Canis lupus familiaris: one gene and its partners. The protein of the gene in region 3 interacts with the protein of the main gene of each other region in a pairwise test. Links are inferred from orthologs where the notes say so. Each region holds a gene or a part of one and is shown on either strand. Other genes may lie near its edges. The genes, in order: GPATCH2L, FRA10AC1 and TRIM41.

Region 1 (3,652 bases), on a different chromosome or scaffold from region 3:
TGAAGAGTAAGCAACACTCTTGGCATGAATCTGACTCCTTTACCGAAAATGCACCATGTCGACCACTCCGGCGCCGGAGGAAGGTGAAGCGAGTGACATCAGAGGTGGCCGCCAGCCTTCAGCAGAAGCTCAAGGTGTCAGATTGGAGCTATGAGAGAGGCTGCAGGTTCAAGTCAGCTAAGAAGCAGCGTCTGTCCCGCTGGAAGGAGAATACTCCCTGGACCTCATCAGGTCATGGGTTGTGTGAATCAGCAGAAAATAGGACTTTCCTAAGCAAAACAGGAAGGAAAGAAAGGATGGAGTGTGAAGCAGATGAACAAAAACAGGGCTCTGATGAGAACATGTCAGAATGGTGAGATCTCCCTTACTAAGTCAGAGATTGTCCTGGTTATTTTTACCCTGAGTACAAATCCATAGTCTTGAGGAGTTCAACCTTCTTTCAGAGCTAGCCACTGTAATGCTGACTTTGTAGCCCCTCCTTTAAGCAATCTGCTAGGGTCTGTCTCTAGCTTTTTACAGTATATTCATGATTCTATTTCCCTATGTCAAGAAAGCTATGTATAATGAAACACATTTGTTTCTAAAAATTGTTTAAAATGCATACCTCACATGCATAACCATGAATTTTATTTTAAAAACAATTTACTGCAGTTTATGCCATGTAGATCATATGTAGATGTTGTGAGAACGAGGGTCTCAGTAGAGGCTGGTGTGTGTGTTTGTGTATGTGAGAAAATGTTGGTGCCAGGCACATGGAGTTTGTGTATGTTCCTGGTAAGCTGCCTTTCCCCTTAAGAGTCATGGCTTTAGCTACGGGGCTATCATTCTGTTGTCTGCTCCCTCCAGTTTGACTGCACTGAGTTTATTTTTTATGGCTGACATTCAAGCCGCCTGAACACATGGTGGGCTTTGAGAATAACGGTACTGAATCCCATTAGTCTTACACCAAATGCCATTGAGCCAGAAACATTTGTGTCTGTGCTTTACAGGATATATGGCATCCTTACACTGTTCCCATCCCCTTCATAGTATCAGACCAAGTGCCTTTGTAGGTGCTGCCTCTTGGGCTGGTAGTCCCAGTTGAATGGTCAGAACTCCACTGTATGGTAGGCCCTGCTGTTCATATTTTAGAAGAGGAGATGAAGGTTCATAGTATTGAGATAATTTGCCCACGGTCACCCGGTAGCAAAACTGGGAATTGAACCTGATTCCAAGGTTCATATGTAACAACCATGAATTTGCCCTTTGCTGCCCTTTGAATTTGCCTTTTCCATGGCTCTTTTTCTGTCTCATTGCAACTTTTACAACCGTAGAATGTGTGGCCTTTCTTAGGACTTTGCTTCTGAAGTTCGTCTGAAAAACAAAGACATAAATCTTAGGAATTATGAGGTAAAGCTATGTCAGTAATAGGAAAAGCTCCTTAATCTTTATGCCTGTACCTTTCATGGGCGACTTTTAATCAAGCTTTAACAGTTTTTCTGAGTAGCTTTATATTTGCCAGTCTGCACAACCAGGTAGGCTTATAATTTGCTTTCCCTCATTTTCTTCTAATGTATATCCTAAGTCCTATTTTCTCAATTTATATGTATAATTTTGGGTTATAAAAGTTTTCTTATCATGTTGTTTTTAATCAAATAAATGTTTAGTCAACTTATAGTCTTTCACAATATCAAAACCCTCAATTGGGTCATTTAAGTATGTTTCAGTATCAAACATAATAATTTACTGTTGAGAATTGTGATTTTTAAAAATTGTTTTTTGCTGTGATAGCTTGTGTTTATTTCTTCCCCAGAATTTCTTGTTATGACGTTATTGTAGGTGAGGGACTGTTAACTATGTCTGCTCTTAAGATAACAGTTCAGGAATGGTTCCAGGCATAGAGTCTGTAATCTAGCAGTGAGGCTCTTTAGTCTTTCCAGTTCCTCCCCCACCCCCACCCCCACCCACATCTATTGCTCATAGGTTGTGATAAACACTCTAGTTATCTGAGAGCCTGAATAAGTTGAAGTAGGCAGCAATCCTTATGAAATATTTATTCTCTTCAAATTGAGAATACCTTGTGTATTCTCTCTCACAAATACCCCATTTATGCTGTATGCCTGGTCCATGACTTTAGAGTTCTTTTAATAATGGAGGCCCAAGTCCTTGAAGCTCTGAGGGAGTAGTTGGTGGAGTAGTAGCAGACCTAAAATGAGAATAATTCTTCTTTAGAATCTAATTTTTTAGGAGTTTTAAATATACTTTGACTTCTGTTGATTCATCTGTAGTTAAAACAGAAATGCTTCTTACCTTTTCCTCCTAAATCTACTCTTTGGAGAAAGAGAGGTTGACTGCAAATTATGTTCAGCTTCCCAACAGTAAGATGGAACTAAAATCTTGCCTTGATTATTAAGCCCATCTTGTGGATAGGACTAGCATTAGTGTGTGTTTAAGTAGATAATAATTTACAATTTGGATATTATATGATTTTTGGGGAGTTGGTTTGTGAGAAATCTTCCTATCTTTTTTTCTGCATTAACAGATATTTTAAAGAATCTTGGTTATTCTTTCATAAATCTGCTTAGATGTGCCTGTTTGTTCACCTACAGCTCAAGTGTAGAACTTTACTTTTTTTTTTTTTTTTAAGATTTATTTGTTTTAGAAGAGAGAGTGCATGCACATGTTCACAAGAATGGGGGTGGGTGCAGAGGGTCAGAGTGAGAGGGAGGGAATCTCAGGCAGACTCCCTGCTGAGTACAGAGCCCAACTCAGGGCCTGATCTCACAACCCTGAGATCACAACCAGAGCCAAAATCAAGAGTTGAATGCTTAGTCAACTAAGCCACCCAGGTGCTACTAGAACTTTACCTTTTATTAGTGGTGTTGAAGATTGTCAGCCTGTATGATCCGACTGGTAAAATTATTAGGATGAGGCTGATCATTAAGCTTAACTTAGCCTTGTCAGTGGATAGAGTTCTTTTAAAAAATGTGTATCAGATGTTTTAGGTTTGAAAATGTGTGTCTCAACCAAAGAGCTTTATTTCTAATTTCCTTAAACTTTACTAATTAACCATGGAATAGTTTTAAGCTTGACCAGTAATTCCTTTACTTTTTCTATTCTTCCTTCAGTTCTGTGCCAACCAGTCCTTCAGGAGTTCTGAGGAACTGAAAGTGGTTATGATGTAAAAGTTTCTTATGCCTACAAAAGATCAATTATTATTTTAATATTTTCCTGTGTATGTGTATTCCATTCTAAAATGGAGCAATTATTTTGTAAAATTAGTTTCTACTGTCTTTATTCATATCATCTGTATAGCAGCTATTAGGTGATTCATAGCATGATTTTGCTCTATTCTTCACTAACACATCATTTGTTTGTTCCCCTTGAATATAGTTTAGCTTCTGTTCTTTTATAAGGGAACTGGTTTGATGTTGGCCTGAAGTCTCAGTCAGGAGCCTTCCTGAGTGATGTATTAGAGGCCAATCTCACAGGAAAGAAAATATTCCCTTCTCTTAGAAGGCAAGTGACAGAGATAGAGTGCTAAACCTCCTCCCTCCTTCTCCAGCCCAGGCTGACCTTCTGCGGCCCCTTGGTGCCTCTTGTTTTCTTATTTTTATAGAAAATCAATATCCCTTCTGACACAAACAATAGCTCAGAAGCAAGAATAAATGGG
Region 2 (3,652 bases), on a different chromosome or scaffold from region 3:
GAACCCATTCATTAGTTTCATCTTCTCAATTTATATTTATTTATTTATTTATTTATTTATTTATTTATTTATTTATTTATTTATTTATTTATTTATTCATTCATTCATTCATTCATTCATTTCATTCATTCATGAGACAGAGAGAGAGAGAGAGAGAGAGAGAGAGAGAGGCAGAGGCACAGGCAGAGGGAGAAGCAGGCTCCATGCGGGGAGCCGAGCGTGGGACTTGATCCCGGGTCTCCAGGATCACACCGTGGGCCGAAGGCGGCACTAAACCACTGAGCCCCCTGGGCTACCCTCTCTATTTTTTATGTATTAAATAAAGTTAAGAAATTAAGTTATTGGAGCAAGACTAACATGTCTCATTAAAGATCAGTGAGTCTTTTTTAAGACTTGAATTTTTAAAAATGTTCCAATTTTTAAAGTATAAAGAAACAGCAAATGCCTTTTGAGAAAATAATTTATAATAATTTTTCTTTTAATAATTTTTGATAATTTTTCTTTTATAATTTAATTAACTTTTCTTCATCACAAACAGGACAATTGAAGATGATTTACTGCTCAAAAAGCCATTTCAGAAAGAAAAACATGGAAAGGTGGCCCATAAACAAGTTGCAGCAGAATTGCTGGATAGGTATGTACTTCAGTGTAAATTACTTTTTTTTTTTTTGGCTTAAGATGTTTTTATAAACTCAAGGACTTGGAGATTTAATTATATTAATTAGAATATGGACATTTGAATTTGTTTAAAATTTGTCTTAACAGGGAAGAAGCAAGAAATAGAAGGTTTCATCTCATAGCTATGGATGCTGTATCCTTTTTGTATTTCTAGATTTTTATAACCAATAGAATATTTTAAATTTTTATTTATTTTTTTAAATTTTTTTATGATAGTCACACAGAGAGAGAGAGAGAGAGGCAGAGACACAGGCAGAGGGAGAAGCAGGCTCCATGCACCGGGAGCCCGACGTGGGATTTGATCCCAGGTCTCCAGGATCGCGCCCTGGGCCAAAGGCAGGCGCTAAACCGCTGTGTCACCCAGGGATCCCTAGAATATTTTAAAATCTACTTTTTTATTTCATAAAATCTTGTGAAGTCAGGTAGACCTAAATTATGTTTTTTTTTTCTAAATTATGTTTTTAAAGGTGTTTATTGATGTGCAGTCTTGTCATTTATACTTTTGAGTACAATTCTGTTTTATTAATACATAAGAAAGATTTAAAGACAAAAATAATAAAACATGGGACGCCTGGGTGGCTCAGTGGTTTAGCCTCTGCCTGCGGCTCAGGGCAAGATCTCCAGGTCCTGGGATCGAGTCCTGCATTGGGCTCCCTACAGGGAGCCTGTGTGCCTGCCTGTGTCTCTGCCTCTCTCTCTCTCTCTGTCTTTCATGAATAAATAAATCTTTAAAATAATAATAATAAAACATATTACTAATGATCTATAAATAGGTTTACAAAGTCCATGAACCTGCAGTTATTTTTCCAACCTGTATTTGCCACGCTCTCAACATTTCTCATTTTAGTACTGCTTTTATCTTTAGTCTCATTTTAACTCTTACTCTTTTACTATCTGGTTCTTGGCTTTTTAAGGTCTTCGTAAAACTTGTACCTAAAAGTAGATAGATGGGTGTGTGGACTGTCCTCAGACCTCTTGTGGCTTCATCTCTCAGGCATGACTTAGGACTATCTTTAAGCTGTATCTTGCTTCCGCTATTATAGCCATGTCTCACTTCAGCTTTTTGGTAAGACTGTGGCTCATTATTCTGACTGCTACCACTGGCCATCCATATTACAGTTGGGAATGTTGGAGAATGAAAGAGAAGCCAACCAAGACCTATAGTGTTTCTTGGTATTTATTATTACAGTCAGGATTAAGAGAAGGAGATGATGGCAATTAGATACATCATCTACCTATTGCCATCTGTTTCCTTTGTTATCATTCCTAATCTTTTTCTTTAACTTATAGAAATTATCTTACCACCGATTTATTCCTCTTCTAACCCAATGGCTTGGCTTTCCCATGGATCTCATCTGCCACTTGTTCCTTTAGTATTTCAGCATCTATTATGCCTTCTATGACCCCACTCATTTGAGGGTGTTGGGGGATCTAGTTATAGCCTGGTGAGTGTGAAAGTGTAGGTCCCCTTTTCTGGCATGGGGAGAGGTTGGGCCAGGTATTTCTAGGATTTCTGGCTAGAGTAGAGTAGATATTGTCTAAGTTTCCTCATGTTAGGCTACCCTCTCTCTTGATTATTCAATTAGAGAGAGCTTTGTTGGGACTCTTCTTGTCTATGCTTGTTGGGATTTTTAGGTTGCTAGCTTCTTTATTTCTGTTTGAGTTTATGAGTCAAAAAGAAAACCTGAGTAACTTACTACCATGTCATACCATAGGTCTTGAGCTCTCTAGCTGTTATGCCTTCGACTCCTCACCTTTCAGAGTCTTATATTTGTTTAAGATATAATTTCCAAGGTTTTTAGTTGTTCTTGGTGGGAAGAATAGGGAGAAGTACATTTTTGTCTACACCATCTTCCTGGAACCAAGGACCCATTCAGCACCTATTTTTGTAAATAAAGTCTTATTGCCACATACCTGTGCTTATTCATCGAGGTGTTATCTGTTCCCACTTTCATGCTAAAATGACAGAGCCAAGCTGTTGTGACAGGTACCATATTGCCTGCGTATGTACCATTAACAGAATTTGCTAACCCTAGTTTTAAAAGATTGAGGTGACTTGCCGTGATTGTATGACCAGTTAGAGACAGGCCAAGAGCAAATCTCTGGATATCTGGCTTTCTCTTTTTTCTTTTCTGAAAGGTTAGCTGCTTTGTTGCCAGTTTTGGAAGTGTTATATTCTGATTCAATATTCTATTAGAACATATTGTGATGAATTAAGTCATTATTTACCTTTGACATAATAGGGTGTAATCAGACAGCATTATGGATGAGATCAGTTCTGTAATTTGCATGCTCTGCTCTGGAGAGAATACCATTGAGCTTTTTAAACAAAAAAGTAAAATGCTCGTATATCTTGTTATATTGCATTAAAAATAAACATGACTGGGATGCCTGGGTGGCTCAGTAGTTGGGCGCCTGCCTTCGGCTCAGGTTGTGATCCCGGAATCTAGGATTAAGTCCCGGATTGGACTCCCTGCAAGGAGCCTGCTTCTCCCTCTGTCTGTGTCTCTGCCTCTCTCTCAGTCTGTGTCTCTCATGAATAAATAAATAAATCTTTAAAAAACAATTAAACATGACTGAATTCCTTAAATATTGAAAGTATAAAAAAGAACATCTGATTTGTTATATTTACATATTTTTGAAAGCCTAATATTAGGATTTAATATATAAAATTTGTATCTTCTATTTTAGAGGCTTTTTCATTACTGGAATAATTAAATTATATCTTGTAGTAATAAAATGCAATTTGTACTCCTTACCTTTAATTTGAAAAAATATTCAAAGCAATATAAATGATATTCAGTAGAAAATGAAAGCCCTTCTGCTCTACATTGTTGACTCCTTCTAACAGTTTAATATTTAACCTTTTAGATATATTTTTTAAAAGATTTATTTATTTATTTCAAAGAGAGAGAATGCCCACCTGCATGTGAGTGGGGGGAGGGGCAGAGAGAGGGAGACAAGCAGACTCCCC
Region 3 (3,265 bases):
GGGGGTGTGGGAGTGGTGCCTGGTAAGGCTGGGAGGTGGGGAAGGGTTTAGGGGCTACTTTCCATTTGGGATGTAGGGCTCCGATACCTTGGATTGAGGGGCAGCAGTTGCAAAATTGGAAGTTTATGTTTCTGTGTGTTGAGGTGGTATCCACCATCCCCTTTGCATCATCCCAGAGCCAGATGAAGTCAGAGTTGGCAGCTGTGGCCTCGGAGTTTGGACGGCTGACACGGTTTCTGGCTGAAGAACAGGCAGGGTTGGAGCGGCGCCTCCGGGAGATGCATGAAGCCCAGCTAGGGCGTGCAGGAGCAGCGGCCAGCCGCCTGGCGGAGCAGGCTGCCCAGCTGAGCCGCCTGCTGGCGGAGGCCCAGGAGCGGAGCCAGCAGGGGGGTCTACGGCTGCTCCAGGTGAGCAGTGCTCCCTTCCCTCTCTCCCCCTCCCACCAAACCCTGTAGTTACTCTGTCAGGCAGTGCTTACTAAACATCTGTCCAGAGCTGCCTTTCTTCTCATTGGGAGGAACCCACAATGACCAAAAGGTTTTTTTGAGGCTGGGGACAGAGTTAATGCCAAGTGTGTGGCAGGAGAAAAGAAAGAAGTTTCAATTGTAGATGAGGGTTTTAAAGGAGAGTTAAGGAAGAATTTTTGACAGATATCCTGAAAAAGATGACCAAGTCACTTTGTGAACATTGTTTTACTGGGGTTGAAAATTATGCTATTGGTTTTGGAGCAAGAGTTGCTGAATGAATGAATCAGCTGTGTTGAGGCATAGGGATGATTGAGATATATGCTTACTGAGGGCCTTAGGGTGCTTTTTCTTACTCCCTGTTCAAGTTCAGTCGTTTCTCTGGCTGGAATCAGATTGGGAGAAAGGAGCTGTCTCTGTGCAGCTGACTCTCTCTTTGTCTCTTTTTTCCCTCTCCCTCTTTTTGTTATTCCCAGGACATCAAGGAGACTTTCAATAGGTGTGTTGCCACCCTTTATCCTCTGTGACCCAGTGGCATCTGGTTCCCCATCCCTACTTCTGTTGGATATCCCGCTCCTTTCCTTCCCCAGGACCCGAGTTTCTGCCTCCTGGACCCTCCTCTCCTTCCCCTCAGCTTCTGCTCTTCCCTCTGGGAATATCATGGTCCCACCCCCTGCCCGGTCCCCCTTCCTCCAGGTGTGAAGAGGTACAGCTGCAGCCCCCAGAGGTCTGGTCCCCTGACCCGTGTCAACCCCATAGCCATGACTTCTTGACAGATGCCATCGTGAGGAAAATGAGCCGGATGTTCTGTCAGGCTGCCCGAGGTAGGGAGGTCACCTGTACGACCTTCCTTTGCCTTTCACTTCACACACCTGAGATTAGGTTCTGAGGGGGAAGTTGAATCCTGAGGGAAGCTTGGGGCTGAGGTGGAGCAGGGTACAGGCAGGCCATATGGGGCTTTAAGCCACGAGTAGCTTTTGTCCTAGTCCGGGTAGGTAGTGGTGGGGGAAGAGGAGGAGGGGTAGCAAGAAGAGCCAGGGCCAGAGGGAGGACCTGTCCACAGGAACTCAATTCTGGCCTCTTAGGATGGGGTGGGGTGAGGTCAGCTAGAAGGGGGAGAGAAAAAGTGAGGGGGAAGGCAGGAAGGAGGCAGGAAGGCAGAGGGGAGGACAACAGGAAAGGCCGAATCTTAAAAAGAGTTTATATTGATTGGGGAACAAGTTGTTCCAGCCTTGGCATATTTGTCCTCCCCCCTTCTCAAGTGGACCTGACGCTGGACCCTGACACGGCTCACCCAGCCCTGATGCTGTCCCCTGACCGCCGGGGGGTTCGTCTGGCAGAGCGGCGGCAGGAGGTTGCTGACCATTCCAAACGCTTCTCAGCCGACTGCTGTGTATTAGGGGCCCAAGGCTTCCGTTCTGGCCGGCACTACTGGGAGGTAGAGGTGGGCGGGCGGCGGGGTTGGGCGGTGGGCGCTGCCCGTGAATCGACCCATCATAAGGAGAAAGTGGGCTCTGGGGGGTCCTCTGTGGGCGGTGGGGATGCCAGCTCCTCGCGCCATCACCATCGCCGCCGCCGCCTCCACCTACCCCAACAGCCCCTGCTCCAGAGGGAAGTGTGGTGTGTGGGCACCAACGGCAAACGCTACCAGGCACAGAGCTCAACGGAGCAGACACTGCTGAGCCCAAGTGAGAAACCACGGCGCTTTGGTGTATACCTGGACTATGAGGCTGGGCGCCTGGGCTTCTACAATGCGGAGACTTTAGCCCATGTGCATACCTTCTCAGCTGCTTTCCTGGGCGAGCGTGTCTTCCCTTTCTTTCGGGTGCTCTCCAAGGGCACCCGTATCAAGCTCTGCCCTTGATTAGCCTGCCACCCGCAGGGGCCCCTCTGGTTAGCACTTGGGGGGCGGGTGGTGGTGGAGGGTGGCCCGTAAGTTTGGGGGCTCAAAGGCTCCTTCCAATGTTTGTTGCTTCCTGCTCCTTTGACCCAGGCCCGCTTCTCCCTCTAGGAGCCTAAAGAACCCTCCTGGCCTGCAGCTCGGCCTTCTCTCACCTGCAATGTCTGTCCAACAGGTCTGCATGGGTCCCTGATGAGAACAGCTGCTTGGTTTTCCTTCCCTCTGTCCACCCAGGGGTCTGAGTTTTGAGTAGGGGATGAAGGGAGATTTAACTCCATTACTTAACTTCCCTTTCCCTGCTCTTCAACCTTAGTGCCCAGGCTGGGGTACTTGGGCAAGATTCAGGTCTGCCCCTATTCCAATTCCGTTTTCTGATGCAAATTTTAGCTGAGGGATTTGGAAGCTTTTTTGGGGGAGGCAGGTTGGGCAAAAGGGTAGAGCTGGGTAATAAATGTCTACTCTAGGGGAAGTAGGAGGGATTCAAAACTCCTTCCATCCCCAAATTCTACCTCCATAGACTGGCCACATTTTAGCTTGAGATATAGATTGGTTGACATGATCGAAACTAGATACCATTGTATCACCCAATAAATTATTTTCTCCCCCTTCCTTTTTTCCAGCACTCAAACTAGGAATAAAGCTCACCCCACCCAACTCCTTTAGGTCTTTTTCACTGCCAGGCTCCTTTCCCCTTTGTTCAGTGGAGTTCCTTGTGTCAGTTTTCAGCCTCATGTCTTTAGTTCTCTCCATTTGGTGAGCCCTGACCAGGAGCCTGGGGACAGGGGTTTGGATCCCCAGAAGAGCCTTGGGTATAATATATTTTTCTAGTAACCCTTTGCCTTCTGTCACTTGTCAGCTTTTGTCCTCTACTTTGATGGCAGAGGTCAATTTATGTTCCTGG

Evidence for each region.
Region 1: the proteins of TRIM41 (region 3) and GPATCH2L interact in binary tests that used the Homo sapiens proteins (3 or more experiments, as listed by UniProt). The two-hybrid records come from large-scale screens. The link is inferred for Canis lupus familiaris from reciprocal best matches to the Homo sapiens genes TRIM41 and GPATCH2L.
Region 2: the proteins of TRIM41 (region 3) and FRA10AC1 interact in binary tests that used the Homo sapiens proteins (3 or more experiments, as listed by UniProt). The two-hybrid records come from large-scale screens. The link is inferred for Canis lupus familiaris from reciprocal best matches to the Homo sapiens genes TRIM41 and FRA10AC1.

What each region holds. Positions count from the first base shown.
Region 1 is NC_049229.1:49,418,783-49,422,434, forward strand, and holds part of GPATCH2L (G patch domain-containing protein 2-like), read left to right. Parts: coding exon 1-352; intron 353-2,018; exon of another isoform or gene 2,019-2,185; intron 2,186-3,652.
Region 2 is NC_049249.1:8,100,736-8,104,387, reverse strand, and holds part of FRA10AC1 (protein FRA10AC1), read left to right. Parts: intron 1-538; coding exon 539-634; intron 635-765; coding exon 766-811; intron 812-3,652. UniProt on the Homo sapiens protein: May be involved in pre-mRNA splicing.
Region 3 is NC_049232.1:606,095-609,359, forward strand, and holds the end of TRIM41 (E3 ubiquitin-protein ligase TRIM41), read left to right. Parts: intron 1-143; coding exon of another isoform or gene 144-176; coding exon 177-407; intron 408-940; coding exon 941-963; intron 964-1,160; coding exon 1,161-1,288; exon of another isoform or gene 1,289-1,289; intron 1,290-1,726; coding exon 1,727-2,328; 3' UTR 2,329-2,475; coding exon of another isoform or gene 2,476-2,613; 3' UTR 2,614-2,619; downstream 2,620-3,265.